2 linked regions of the Tamandua tetradactyla genome follow. The protein of the gene in region 1 purifies or fractionates together with the protein of each later gene. This does not show direct contact. Links are inferred from orthologs where the notes say so. Each region holds a gene or a part of one and is shown on either strand. Other genes may lie near its edges.

Region 1 (8,006 bases):
AGTCTCGTACTCCTTGATTCAATAAGGGAAATATCCTCCTTGATTTATTTTCACAAGTTATCTGAGGAAGAGACAAATGGGAGGCCTTGGAAAAATTCTGCGTTTTGTTTCTGGTTTGCTTTTTTACAAAAAGGGGGCCCAGCTGATGAAAACAAGTTATGAAATGACCTATGTTTGTGTAACTGGCTGGATTGCGTAACGCCCAGAGCCTGAGACCGTAATAGCCAAGTGAGCAGGCGGTGCGTGTATCTAGGACGTGTTTTCCTAGGAAAGCTAGGAGAGAGAAGACAACAACATCAAGAGAAAGAAAAAAAATAAATCAATCCAGGAGGGGGAGATGTCTGCACCTATCACGGCCAAAACAAAATCACCAACGATCAAACTTTGAGATTAAAACTATAACTGGAACAGGAAATATTTTTCATGCTTCGAGTTCCAGCCATATTCAAGAGCAGACGCTTTTGAGATGAGTTATCTAGCCCCTCCAAACGTCACTGGAACTCACGGACAGTATGTTACGATCGAACTTTATGAAGCTGGAGAGGAGAGGAAAGGAAAGCTCTGGGTTGAATAAACAACAATAAAACTCACCAGAAATATTGTTCCCCTCCCCCCGGAAAATAGAATGTTCCCTTCCCCAAGAAAAAACCAGGGTCTTACATGGATGAGTCTTCTGAGAAGCCATAGAGGAGGAAAGCTCAGCCACTCTCTGCCATGACAGTCTCCGGGTTGAGGAAGCAGAGGCACATAAAGTGATTACAGGTTTTATCTGGTATGTAATAAAGTTACCTTGAGCCTGAGATTGGGTGGAGTCACAGCACAGACTTGTGAAATAACAAACGCGTCTCAGGTCAGCTTTGCTCAAACTTGGAGAGGCGATGGAAAAACCCTCCACCCCCAGGATCAGGCGGGCAGACAAACTTGTCTAAAGTGGCAGCACTTTGCCAGTCCCTCTGCTCTGGAGGCAGCCTCGCTGGCTGCCTGGTGGAAGGGGCAGGCGTACAGGCGAGAACCCCGTGCGCTGGTTATTACTAATTGCAAAATCCTCATGTGTTACAGCATGCTAGGAATTGGCCAACAGCTGTTTTTTGCTTCAGTAATGAGGCCCCATTACACTGTGCCGGAGTGAGCTCTTTTCCTTCTTCCTAGCACTGGTTTCCTGTCTGATTTTCTTCCAAATCAGGGAATTGCCTCCACTCACATCCTGGGCTCCAAGCCCCAGTGACACAGATTACTCAGTTGGGGCACTGGTGTCCAGACTTGGCTTCCCACACAGGCCCCAGGCTCTGCAGCCAGGTGGCGGGAATGGAACATTTAAATGTTCACTGTCCTGGGAACGCAGCTAAAGCAACAGGGAAGAAATCAAAAGATCCCTCTGGTGAGGGGAAGAGGAGAGGGGCGTTCCGGGGGTCAGAGGGAAGGGGTACAAATGACTTCAAGTCACTGCCTAGTGACGTTTACATTCAGTTTTAAAAACGAAAACAAAAACACCAACATGGCTGGAAAGCAGATACAATGAATCACTTTTCAGATAAGATTTCCTATTCAAACCCTCGGTCCCTTATTAACGGTGCCCCCGGCTGCACTGTCAAATGTGCAGACTCCAAACTGGGCTCTCTATGTGGATGCTTATGGGGGCAGCAGAGGAGGTAGAGGGAAGAAAAGGAAGAGCCGTTCTGGGGACTCTCCAGGTACGGCAGGTAGCCTGGTTCAGGTCTCAACAAGAGCCATATTTCCACTTTATCCCCCAACCGGCTGCACCTCTCCATGGGACGACCCCACCCCTCCTGGCTGGCTCCAAGAGGTCAAGTCCACGGCCCTCCTGGAGTCGCTCCTCCTCTACCCAACTTGCCTAAGGCTATCATAGATCCTGCTCAAGGTGGGCTTCAGGTTGTCCTGGGGCTTGAAGACTGGCTGCCAACCCCACCCAGTAGGCACCCCACCGCCGCCACCACCGCCGCCGCCACCCCAGCAGCACTTTCTGGTATTTATAGACACGCAGAGGGCACACACAATCCCTCCAGCGCAAACCAGTCCGGCTGCTTTAGAAACAAGTTGTTTTCTTCTCCCAGGACTATCCGGGAGCCTAAGCGAGGTCTCTTTCCTTCACTTCTCTCTGGGCCTCTTGCCCAGAGAACCCCCAGATTCTCAAGGCATCCCTTCCGGAGGGGGGCCATATAGGGGATGGACTCAGGGACCCGCAAGCAGACACCGAGTCACTCAGGGCTGGCCTCCTCCTGCCTGACCTTCGCACCTGGTTCCCAGGGCTGCCACCCTCACCCCCGTCCTGGATTACTTGAAAAAACCCCACCTTTTTAGAAATAAGGCTGCTGGAGAAAGCGGGGAGTGGGGAGAGGGCTTTCCCATAGGACGGGCCCCTCGCTTACTGGAGGGGCATAGATTTCCCGATTTCCTTGTCTGTCCACCACGGGGAGCGCGGGGGAGTGGAGGCGGGGAGGTGGGGGGGTGGGGGTGGCGGCGGGGGAGTAGGGGTGGGGGTGGATGTTCCCCGGGACGGGAGTAACAGGCTCCTGGGAAGGGAACCTGCAATCGCAGAATAGGAGCTAAGCTGGATGCGATGGATAAAAATGGGGTTTTCAAGCCCTCTCCCCGCTCCGATTTAAAAAAATAATAATAATAAAAGTGGGAGAACTAGGTAGGATGAGAATCCCGAACTTGGAACGGCGGGCCGCAGGTATTTCTTCGCAAAGACAAGAAAAGGAAAAGAAAGAGAAAGAGGCAGAGGCGGCGAGAGGAGGGCGGGGGGTCCGCCCGCGCCGCCAGGTGCACCAGAGGCCGGCACCTACCTGCTGGCCGCCGCCGCTGGAGTACGACTCGGCGTGCGCAGGAGAGCCGCTGCTGCCCCGGGACGAGGTGTCAAAGTTCCCGGGATAATCCTGGAACATGATCCGCGGTGGGAGCCCGAGAGGAAACAGGGTGTTTGTCTTCCCCCGCCCTCGTCGCGGCCGCGCACTGGCTGCTGCGCGCTCCCTGGCTCGCCGGCCGCGCCCCGGGGTCTGGCCTGGGCGCTCACGCTTCTCCCCCGGGGCACCCGGCGCGGGCGCGGGCGCGGAGGGCGAGGCAGCGACCTCTGCGAGGCAGGACCCCCCGAGCGCCTCTCGCCCAACTTCTCTGCGGCCCTCGAAGCGCCACGGGACCAGCCGTCCACCCGGTTCCTCCCTCTAACCAGTCTGCGCGTCCGTCGGTCCCTCCCCTGCTCGCGCCCTCCCGCCCCCGCCGGGACCGACGTCCAAATCGAAAAGTGGGAATTAAAAAAGGATGGGAGCTCCTCGAGCCCTGCCTGCCGAGTGTGGGAGCCCCAGATTGTAGAGCGATCAAAAACTAAAAATAAAAATAAAAGAAAGAGAGCGAGAGAAAAGAAAGGCTGCCCTTGGTGGAGAAACTTCTATTTCCTCCTTTTCGAAAAGGGGCCCGACCATAAACTTCCTGTGGCTAGACCCGCCGCCTGCCTTTCGGGGCTGCCGGACACTTGGCCAGCAGGAGCAAAGCAGCCCGCGCGCGTCCCGGGCCCCTGGCGCGCCGGCGGCCACGCACGCCCGTGAACTTCAAGCCCAGCCCGCGGGCGGCGAGAGACGCGGGCCCGGCTCCAGCACCAGCTCCCGGAGACACCCGCACTGCTTCCCGGCGCCCGCGCCTCGCCCGTCGCCTCGCGGGCCCTGCCTCTGCCCGCCGGCGCCTCTCCCTCGCTCTCCCCGCCGAGCGCCGCTCGCTCGGAGCCCCTGCGCTCTGCCCGAGATGAGTCACTACAGTGGCACGAGTTCAACTCCACACTCTTTATTATCCAGCCCCCGTACCATGTGGATTCACTCACGTCAACCCGACTCCACCTTGCAGGGAGGAGCGCGCCCGGAAAGGCGGGAGGGGGAGGGGGAGGGGGAGGGAGGAGGACGCGGAGGAGGAAGGGAAGCGGGAGACGGCGGGCCGCTCGGACGCCAGCTGCCTGCCCCGGAGCAAGAGAGGAAGAAGGTGGCGGCGCCTCGGCCGCGAGTCCGCGGCGCGGTCCGGGGAAGCCGAGGCACCCGGGTCCTCTCCCCACCCTGTCCTCATCCCCTCCCCACCCCCAGGCCCAGAGCCCTTGGTCTCTTCCATTGGCGCACGTTGCCAAAGATGGTCATTTGCGTTAGAGGACGTGAGTGCGGGTTTCCTCGCTCTCGGGTGACGTGGAGGGAGAGGGATTCCCTCGCCCGCTCCCGAGCGCGCCGCTCCGGCTCCCCCCTCCGCCCGGGCCGGGGCTCGGGGCCGCCGCGCTGCGCCTGAAAACTGAATCACGGCCCTGAGGAGCGAGCGGGCGGGTTTCGGGAGGCGCCACCGCGAGGCCGGGAGCCGGGCGCGCACAGCCGCTGGCAGGGAGGGCGCGGCCGTGCGCGGTGGCCCGCGCCCTCCGCGGCGCCGCCCGGTGTCCCGGCGCCCTGGGCGGGCAGGCGACCCAGGCTACCCGCGCCGCCCTGCGGCCAGGCCTTGGGGCGCGGCGCCGCGGGCCGCCGGGGTCGGGCTGCCAGCTCTCTGCCCTTGGTGGCGGGCTGCCCACTGCTGCTTTTTTTCTTTTTTTCCTTTTTTTTTTGTCCCCCAGCGCTCGGGTTAATTTGTTAGGAGTAGCCTTGAAGCCGAAATTAACCTGTCAAGACATTCCGACCGCCCTCCATACCGGACAATTAGAACGCATCTAATAGGAGGAACTGGGCAAACTGCAGGTTGTTAATTAAAAAAAGCAGAGGAGGAGGGAGGCCGGCGAGAGGGTGTGTCCCCACACAGTCTTCAGCTGTTTGGAGCGAAGTTTGGGGCGCGGGTAGTCGGGACTCCTGGGTCTTCCCGCCTTGCTGGGCGGGGCGGGGGGAGGCGCAGCGTAAGAGCCCCGGCTTTGGAGTCTGAACGTCTGACTCTGCTATTTACGTGCTGTGAGACCTTGGACGAGTCCCCGAACCTCTCTGGGTCTCAGTTTCCCACTGTAAATCGAATACGTTGGGCCAGGTGACTTTCTAAGGCCCCTGTCAGCGCTGGAGCTTCCTCAGTCCTCTGCAGAGATGATGGCGTGTGAGCGCAGAAGCACGGTTCTAGGAGTGAAGGGACGTGGGTCCTGATCCAGCCTCTGCCTTAGCCTCGGTTTACCCGACTAAGTGGCGCCTTGTGCACGCCACAGGGTCCTTGAGAGGACCTTAACAGACTGTTAAACGCTCTGCGCTCTGACCCACCACAGTTCCGCCCTCAGTTTCTTGATCTGTAAAGTGGAGGTGTTGCTAAGAAAGAAAAATAGAGGCGGGAATTCGAAGCTTTCCCGGGGCTCTATATAAAGCGCAGGCGTTTCCGGGACGGCTGGCGGCATCTGGTCGCCTTAATGGCCCCAAGATACGGTAATCCCGAACAATACTCGGGGTCATTGTTTACAATTATAAAACACATTCTGTCCTGAGCTCCATCCCCAAGGACGCGCGCAGCGAGGCGAGGCCGTCCAAAGACTCCTCGCACCTCGGCCGCCGCGCTCCACCCGGGGTCCCCAGCTCGGCGGGCCCGGGTGTGGGTGGGGCGGGTGAACGCGTGGGTGCTGGGTGTTTCTTTTGTTTTGTTGTTTTTTAAATCCCTGCGTTCTGGCCTGCCTGGGTGTTTACGCGCCTTTCCCAGCAGGACTGAGTAAATGCAGGCCTTTGACGCAAGACGGATCAGCTCTGTCCTCAGCGGCAGCAGCAAAGCGCAGAAAACTCAGAGTGGGGGTGGGGATGAGTGCAAAAGAAGAAATCGTGATACGTTTTCCCCTCGTCTCTCCGCCCCCTCCCCGTGCCCAATGCCCCCAGGCGCGGGGAAGGCAGGCCACGAGGGCCTCCAGGCACCCTAGCGAGAGCTTGGGGGGCTGCGAGGGGAGGAGCGGCGGGTGCGCCCGGGGCCCTCCCCCGCGCAGCCGCGTGTCGGAGCGGCGGGAACAGACGCACTTTTGGTTTTAGTTTGAGCGGCAGCGGCAGCCCGGCCCTCCCCCACCCCGCGCTCGAAAATCCGGGTGCCTCTGGGTCTCTCCCACACGATCCTTCCAGTAACGCCGGGTGGGGAAAAGGAGGGGGGAAGGGGAGCGGGAGCGTCCACCGTGGCCTCCGCGGTCCCGGGCGCGCCCATGCCTCGGTAGGCGCCGCTGGGTGCAGGCGGGCGAGCGCATCCTCGCGCCCTCGCCCGCCCCCGCCTTGCCCGCACCCTCGGCCCTTTCCTTTCTTGTGGGTTCCCGTAAAGCCCAGCAGCCCCGAGACGTCTGCAGAGCATCATGGAATCTGTGCTGATGCAAGTAGGCAGCCATCTCCTTGGTGCACCCCCGGCCTGCCTCAGAGCGCTTTGATCCCGCCTTCCCCTGCTCCACAGCCTGCGCTGGCTCCCACCGCCCGCCGGGAGGTCTGCTATCCTCCCGCTGCGGTCCTCCGACGCGCAGAGCTGCGTCCTGCCCCTGTGGCAGGACTGACCGCGCGAACCAGTGGGTTCCTCAGCCGGACTGTCTATGCCAATCGGAGCATTTCGTCTGCAAGCCCTGCTTTCTGCGCCCTCCGACGGGAACCATTGCAGGATCGCCCGGTCAGAAAGAGGCCCTCGTGGAGGTCCCCCCCCCCCCCCCGCCGCCTGGAATAACAAGGAAGATAGAGCCCGACATTTATTGTGCATTCACCAAGAGGCAGACAGCACGTGGAATGTTGTAGAGGGATTGTCTGTTGTAGAGGGATTGTCTGATGTAGTGCTCACCCAGCCATGGGAGGTGGGCATCATTTCCCAGTTGCAGAGGGAGAAAGGGACATTAAGCAGCTTGTGCAGGGAAACTGGTTGTAGCAGGTTAGTGACCCAGTCGGAAGCCCAGCTGGGCCTCTCGGGCCCAGGCCATCCTCCTCTCACCCAGGACATGGAATGAATCCTCTGCCGCCTGCTGGGGTCTTTTCGTTTCTGTTTTATGGGTCTCCTGAAAGCATGGACTTCATCTGGTTCAGGGCTCGAGGTGCCCCTCTTAAATAAACAGTCCGGTACCATCGCTCAGTTCAAGAAGGGGGTGATGTCAAGCGAGGGAAGGGAAGGAGAGGAATGGGGGGCCACATGTGGTTTGGACCATCTTCTTGCCGCCTCGCTGGGTCTCCAGGACCAGCCGGCCACACTTTTGCCAGTTTCTTCATGTGTCCATCCAGCCCAAAGTTTGGTCCCCAAGAGTAACACCAGGAGATGACACAACTCCCAGTGTGGTGTGCGTCCGGCTCGCGGCTGCACTGGGCACACTTCTGAGTGCCACATGTTCATAAAGCCCCTTTACAGGGCATGGTCATACTTGTCCTCACCAGGACAGCCCTGCAAGGGATGTGGACAGCGGTCAGTGACTGCCAAAGAGGAGGGCAGGGGATGGCATGGCAAAGCCACTGACTGGGTTCTAGCCAGTGGGGGTCGGAGCCTGAACTGGAACTTAGCTTACCTGCCTCTAAATCCAGCCCTCTGCCCCTTACCTACACTCCAACCTCTCAAGGTTAGAAGACAATTCTGCATCTTGATTCCCTGTCCTCTATCTGTCATGCCTGACGGTGGCTGTCATCGGTTGTCTATAGTAACCGTACATTTTGGTCATGTCTTAGCATTTCTGAAAGCCAATGCGTCTTAACCAATGACTATTTAATAGAGAAGTGTTTCTGTCTGTCCACAGGTCTGCCAGGGCTCCATCAGGAAACTGGCTTCAACCCGGATGGGTCCAAGGAAAAAACCTGAATGGAGAAGCTCCTTGCAGAGATGTGGCGGGGTCCAGCCCTGGGGTTGAAAGGAAAAGGGAAGGGAACAGAAATCCTCCAGCCTACTGAGCACTGGGACCATGGGAGACAGGCTGTCCCCGGGGCGGGGGAGTGGGGCTGCCGCTGTGGAGAGCCAGAGACGCTGCTGAAGCAGGGAGGGAGGCAGGAGAAAATGCTGGACTTCTCCCCCAGGTCCTGCCAAAGCAGTCCTGCCTGCCGGGAGGGAAGGGACAACACACGGAAGGGTGGCTAGTGAAAGAG
Region 2 (7,434 bases), on another chromosome or scaffold:
AGAGACCTCTTCCTTACAGCATTCAAAAGTCCACCCATAAAGGGTTCCAAATACGATGTATTTTCACGTTTGTGAATATACTTGATTCCAAACTAAAAAATAGACTGAATTAGTCTCTTAGGGGAAGGCAATATTTGCAAATGAGTACGTGTCAGGGAAGCTTAAAAACTATTTTCTTTAACAGGTTTCTAAAAAGATTGAAGACTTTTTCATGAACTCTAAAACCATAGTACCAATTTCAGAGAAACCACCAAAAGAAATCAAAGCTTTTTCTTTTTTAATAAATGTTGCATTAGTTTTCCTCCATGAAGCAACATCCCTACCTTAACTTTAATACCTTTATCATGTGATAAGGAACAATTACATGCCATCCTGTCAACTAGTCTCAAGAAGAGAGCAGTTTTTATTAGACATTTACATGGCTGTGCAATTTGCTCCACCTAGAACTTCCCTGCAAGGAGAAGGCTCCTCCTTATCACACCCCATAGGACACTGCTGTAACCCTAACTCCCTCTCATCACTGAAGCCTGGAGAAAACTTGACAGGCACAAAACGGGAACTTGTGAGAACTTCAGAGCAGCTGTGTTCAGGTACAGCCAGAGACACTACTTTACGTAAAGTAACAGCTTAAGAATTGGCTAAAAAACAATTTTCATTTTGGGTGGGAAGTGGGAAGAGTAAAGAGATACAATAAAGGTAGCTATTAACATTTAAAGGGCATATAAATAAAGGTGCTTAAAATTACAACTCCAAAACAACCACAGGGTGTAAATTTTGATCCACAGATTGAAAGATGAGCAGTTATTATTCTCTATCTTTCTGCTAGTTGGTGACACTAGTGGGGGGGGCGGAAGTCTTGGATTAAATAGTATCCAAGTTAAAGTCATAACAAGTTCTAGGGTGGAATAACAAAACAAGAAACTGCTCTTTCATTGGATATTTTTTTGCATTGCTGCCATGCAAACTGTAAAATGTTTTGAATGTCCAATGCTCTTAAAGTGAAATACTGGAAACCAATTCAGTAAGTAATGCTAAAAGTCATTAATTAATTGGTCTCAATGAACTGCAGGGGCAACTTCCTGGTCCTGGAAGAAAGCTTTAAATGGTTGCTGGAAACCAAAGCTGAACACAGAATTACATACCCTGGTTTCTCTCTACGGGTACGTCAGACATTTTTTGCTTCTCAAAAGCAAAAAGAGAAGAAAAACTAATGTAAAAAAATTCTATGCAATAGTAAAGAAGTTATTAACTAGCTGGTGGTATTATTCCAATTCATTATTAAATGATACACAATTATCAAACAAAAGGCAAAAAACCTGTCCCTTTGTTGTACAGAATTAAGAACAAACTGGTAAGACTACTTAGTACAGCTGCCAAACTTTTCTTTAGCTTCTTTTCTTACAGACATGTTACATTTCGCAATAGCATCAACTTACCTTACATCCTCCGTTTAAGTACAAACTGAATTTGAGTTCCCCAACCTTGGTCCTAAAATATTATATCTTTAGCTTCTGAGTCTCGATACAAAGAAAGAAACTGAAAATTTTTCACTTTCCTGAAATGTCTATTTTATTTAAATATTTTTCAAAAAATATAAGCTAACCAATACTAATTTCATAACCATCCACTGAACAACTTCAAAAATGTGTGTGGGTAAGAAACATCTAACAAAAATACAAAAATGTGTGTGGGTAAGACACATCTAACAAAACATTTTTCTGTGCTTATGTCTATAAGGACTGATGTCTCTCCAAGAATTACTTACACAACTGCAAAAATTCTAAGCATAGAAGTGAGCTTGCTGAGAAAACGCTGCACACCCACAAACCTACACTCACATATAACAGGACTCTCAGAGATAGTATGACATCCGCTGTTAAGGAGAAAACAAACTTTTAGTTACGAAAGTAGCAAAGCGGGAATCTAGGTAGGAGGCGCCCTGGGTAGTAAACATCCCAGTCAGAGAACATAACAAGCAATTCAGAGCAACACATAAGTCCCTATGGGGCTCCATCTTGGACCGCTTAAGTCCCAACCCATATCCCTGTGTTTAGGAGGTGAAATGTGGCAAGAGGAAGAGAGAAAGGAAATCAGAGCAGAAGTGATGAAAGTGTTTTTCTTCTTCTCTACCCTCATCCCTGCTTTCCTGCAGGCTGGCCTCTCATCTGGGTCCCATACACATTAGAAGCCGTAAATCAATATCCCAACCATTTTCTGCTACCTAGCCTAAAGAACTGTATTTAACAGCCTCTCCTTTCCACCCACCTCCCCTATTCCTCCTGACTTTCATACCCTTCCAACAGCTATGCCTTTTGACTACTCAGCCCACCCCTGTTTAGTCTTCCTAAATTAAAATCACACTTAATTTTCTCAAATCCATACTTTCTCACTGATAACATGGCTGATAGCCTTTTTCTTAATTTGATCGACATGTCATGACTCTCATTTCCAAATATTTTACTCTATTTTTCCAGCCAATCTTAATGCCATGTTTTCACCTGATCAAGATTCCTACTCATCCCCACCTCCTACCTATCAACCCCTGTCTTTCCCAATGGCAAGCCCCTAACCTCGCTTTGAGAAGCTCTGAGCCTTAACCTAGTTAGTGTTCAGTATCTCACCCCTTTCTCCCAGTCGCCTCCATTCCAAGAGTCTTCCATTACCACTCCCTCAGGATTCAACTCCCCTCTCCTTGCCACGCCCTGGGCCCCCCGGGGCTACTTACCCCAAGTTCTCCCCACACTTCAGGCCTCTGGCTCCGCCTCTCCCCGCCCGCCCCCCGACCAAGGAAGGGGGCGGGAGAAAGGAGAGAAAAGGGGCGGCACTCCGCAATGTAAAGACGGCCTCCCATTAGGGCTCACCTCCGCCAATCATAACTTCCTTTTCTCTTATTGGCCGACTTTGGTTCATTCCCCACCCTCTTCCTCAGACAGGGCCCGGCCACCGCCTCAGCGCCCGAGTCTAACAGACTGGGAGGGGAGATCCTGGCCTGGGACACTGGGACAAGCCAGAGTTGAAAGGAAGACTCCTGTCAGACCATGGACTAACTAGTGTTAACAGGACTCACCGGCTAATAGCTCCGTCACCTCCCACCAGCCCGCGTTGGGTCCCACAAACTGTCTCCAGCTCCTTCTTTCCCCCCTCAGCGGTGCAGATACTTTCCTCTCGTCCGGCTAGGCGCGCTCGCCCCTCGCGAGAAGTCAGGGGGAAGGGCGAGATCCATAAGGGGTGGAGTTGAAAAGGGGCAGAGAGGCGGGACTCGGGAAAGGAAGAGGCTGGGTTTACTGTGAAAAGGGCTGGGGCGGGAAGCAGAGCTGTTGAGACACACGCGGGTCACAGGTGTTTGGCTGCGGAATGTAGGAGGGAAAAGAAGGAAAGGGAATTTCTCCTAGAGTGGTGGAGATCCAAAAGGTGAAGCAAATTCTCTAGGAAATGAAATTATCTCAAAAGAGCGCACTTTAAAAAACATATGTCGAATGTTTTATATATATATATATATATATATATATATATATGTATATGTCGAGACATACCTCGAAAAAGCTGTTTTTAAAAAAAATGCGAAGGGGGCACCGAGGCAGGTCTCAAAGAGGCGAGTAGTTGCACTTTTCACTTCGAGAACTATGGCTATGGCCCTGATCTCTGCTGTGTGTGTGTTTGACTGTATTGGGGACCGTCCCGGGAGGCGGGAGGTGCGGGGGTGGGGGGTGGAGGGCGCCTGGGGTAGCTAGGGTTCAACCGCAAAAACTGGAGACTTTTTGAAAAAAGTGCAGGTTGCTTCTACTATTCTCCAGAATCATCACTTCCTCAATGGCACAGTAATTTTTTAAATAGATAATTGATCATCAAAATGTAAAATTATTGTGCATTGGTAGACATTAGCAAGAAAGCAAAAATATACCCCACAGAATGAATGGCAAAGTAGTTTGACATACCCTTACCCTTGGGTGGATATATTGGCAAAAGCAATCCCTTTTCTATCATTTGCCAGCCCTATGGCCTTGGATGAGATGATTCTTTCAGCCTTTGTACCTTGGGGCTAGCAATCCCATTTTACTCACAGAGCTGTAATGATTAAGATAATGTATATGAAAACTGATTGGGGATAAAAAGGCAAGCTATATTTATTACTTAGAAAGTTTTTTTAAAAATACTTAACAGGCTCTAATTTGTGTAAGGCACTGTTACAGGCATAAGAATAGAAAGACCAAGTCCTTGCTCTGGTGGGATTTATTAGCCAATAAAGACAAATATTTCAAATACTGATGAGTGCTTCAGGGTTCTAGGATAATGAGAGAAAAAGCAACCAGGAGTGAGCGATTAGCTTTATATTTGGTATGGTGAGAAGGCCTCTTTGAGGAAGTAACATTTAAAACATTGAGGGGAAGCAAAAGCTGTATTCAAAATTCATCATAAATTATAAGGAGAGTTCACTCCAAATCTCTATGCAATCTCTGCTCCCTCAGGTAACTTCCTTTTGCAGCTTTATGTTACTCAGGTTCTTTAACTTCCTGTCTAGGATCTCCTCTATCCTCAGACTATCTGGGTGGTAAGAATGCAGGTGTTTTCTCCCAAATAGCAGTTAATTGTCATTATCTCTTTAGTTTTTCTTTCTTTTTAAATTGTGGGAACATATGTACAATATTAAATCTCCTCCTCCTAACTCCTCCCAAGCATTCCATTCAGTGGGATTAATCACATTCACAGTGTTGCAATATCCTCAGCACCATCCATTACTATAACCTTCCTTTTACCCCAAACAGAACTCTACACCATTTTGCATCAATTCCCCGTTGCCTCTACCCCACCCTCACCCCTGGAAACACGTACCCTACTTTCTGTCTCTGCAGACATTTGCATATTCTCTGATATTTTCTTTGTGGTTACTATGGGGCTTAAATTTAGCATTCTAAATCTATACTAATCTTGTTTCTTTTGATACTAATTTAACTCCAATAGCATACCTAAGTCATATTCTCGACCCCTCTGTTTTCCCATCTTTTCTTGTCACAAATTCCGTCTTCATGCATTATGAGTTTAAGATTACTCAGTTATCATTACATTTTATGCATTTGCCTTCTAGATCCAGTAGAAAATAAAAGTGGAATTGCAGAACAAAATACAATTGTAACTAGTATTTATATTTATCCATGTAATATCTTTACCAGAAATCTTTATTTCTTCATATGGCTTCAGTCAATTGTCTAGTGTCCTTTCTTTTCGGCCTAAAGAACTTCCTTTAGCATTTCTTGTAGGGTCAGTCTAGTGATAAAAATCCCTCAGATTTTGTCTATCTGGGAATGTCTTAACTACTTCCTCAATTTTGAAAGACAGTTTTGCTGGATGCAGAATTCTTGATGGGCAGTATTTTTGCTTTCAGCACTTTAAATGTGTATTCCCACTGCCTTTTTGTCTCAAGGCAAAAGTTTAATAAATCCACACTTAAACTTATTGAGGCTTCCTTGTATGAGATATGCTGCATCTCTCTAACAGCTTCCAGAATTTCCTCTTTTATCTTTGGTAATCAAACCTGGGTTCAATTCCCGAGCCATACACTCCCCCCCACACACACAAATATATATCTCTTTGCTATTCAACCATTTGATTATAAAATGGTAGGTGAATCTATTTGGGTTTTTCCTGTTTGGAGTCCATTGAGCATCTTTATCTTTTTTAAATTAAATTTATAGAGTTTCAACCATTGTTTCTCTGAATATTCTCTCTGCCCCTTTCTCACTTCTCCTTCTGGGATTCCCACAAGTGTATACTGGTACATTTGATGTTGTCCCACACGTTCTCAGACTCTGTTCACTTTTCTTCCATTCTTTCTTCTTTCTGCTCCTCAGAATGGATTATTTCAATAGTCTTATGGTCAGTTTCTCTGTTTCTTTCTTGTACCAGCTCCAACTGCTTTTTTTTTTTTTTAAGGACTGCCAAAATCTAATTTTATTGTTGCATTCTTTATAAATAAAAAAGTAACCATTATTTTCTTTTCCCACTTAGATCCAACTTCAATAACCAAATATTTCAGGAACTACTGAAAGACTTCAAGTACACTGTCTACAACGAATAGTTCATAATTGTATCCTTTCTATGCTTTTTTAACAATCGTCAACTCTGAGAACATGTTAAGTAAACTAACTTTATTTTTATAAATAAAAATTAATAACTTGAAACATCATGCACTTGCGACATTTATAATATCTAACTCCTTAACATAAGGTCAAACAGTCTTAGGCAAGCTGCCACCGAGAAATTTTTAATGTCCATAGTAATATAAAGGTATGGATCACATTCAGCTTTTAGTATATGAACATGCTAATTAATAAAAATTCAAAAAGTTAGAGTTAAGAACCAATATTCTTTGAAAAGCATCTTTATTTACTCCTGGCCAAACAAGTAAGTGGAAAAGCCATCATTATAAACCCATTTTTTTAGTGTCTTATCCTTAAAATTACTTGAGTACTTAGAACACAGAAAAACCAAATTTGAATGCATTTGCAATAGTTTAACAATTTACATGTTCCACGAAGTTATTTTAATGGAATGTCTCGAAACCAAAGCATAATTCATTGCAAACATAAGTCAGAAAAAGACCATAAACTTTTTTCATCACGTAGTTGTATATTCATCATCATGATCATTTCTTAGAACATTTGCATCAATTCAGAAAAAAAAATAAAAAGAAAACAGAAAAAAAACATACATACCATACCCCTTACCCCTCCCTTTCATTGATCACTAACATTTCAATCTACTAAATTTATTTTAACATTTGTTCCCCCTATTATTTATTTATTTTTAATCCATATGTTTTACTCATCTGTCCGTAAGGTAGAGAGAGGAAGCATCAGACACAAGGTTTTCACAATCACACAGTCACATTGGGAAAGCTATATCATTATACAATCATCTTTAAGAAACATGGCTAGTGGAACACAGCTCTACATTTTCAGGCAGTTCCCTCCAGCCTCTCTGTTATGCCTTAACTAAAAAGGAGATACCTATTTAATGCATAAGAATAGCTTCTTGACTCTATTTGGAATCTCTCAGCCATTGACATTTTATTTTGTCTCATTTCTCTCTTCCCCCTTTTGGTCAAAATGGTTTTCTCAATCCCTTGGTGCTGAGTCTCAGCTCATTCGAGCATTTCTGTCCCATGTTGCCAGGAAGAAGACCATAAACTTTTAATTTTTTTTATTTTTATTTTTTTTACATGGGCAGGCACCGGGAATCGAACCCGGGTCCTCTAGCATGGCAGGCAAGCATTCTTGCCTGCTGAGCCACCGTGACCCAGAATACCATAAACTTTTGAATGGCATATTATGACTCAAACAAAACTGATCATCACCTAGTAATACTCATAATATTTAGCACATGCAACAGATTGAGAAATTAAATTCTCTGCTATATACTTATAAGTATTTTGTCATA

The links. The genes of interacting proteins can lie anywhere in the genome.
Region 2: the proteins of FOSL2 (region 1) and ATF7 purify together in Homo sapiens (affinity purification with mass spectrometry; 3 studies listed by BioGRID and IntAct, counting the BioPlex papers as one, with this or other methods). This does not show direct contact. The link is inferred for Tamandua tetradactyla from reciprocal best matches to the Homo sapiens genes FOSL2 and ATF7.

Annotation. Positions count from the first base shown.
Region 1 is NC_135329.1:12,552,302-12,560,307, reverse strand, and holds the start of FOSL2 (fos-related antigen 2), read right to left. Parts: upstream 3,010-8,006; 5' UTR 2,907-3,009; coding exon 2,808-2,906; intron 2,453-2,807; exon of another isoform or gene 661-2,452; intron 1-660.
Region 2 is NC_135333.1:115,066,716-115,074,149, forward strand, and holds the start of ATF7 (cyclic AMP-dependent transcription factor ATF-7), read right to left. Parts: upstream 3,018-7,434; 5' UTR 2,852-3,017; coding exon 2,726-2,851; exon of another isoform or gene 2,661-2,725; coding exon of another isoform or gene 2,622-2,660; intron 1-2,621. UniProt on the Homo sapiens protein: Stress-responsive chromatin regulator that plays a role in various biological processes including innate immunological memory, adipocyte differentiation or telomerase regulation.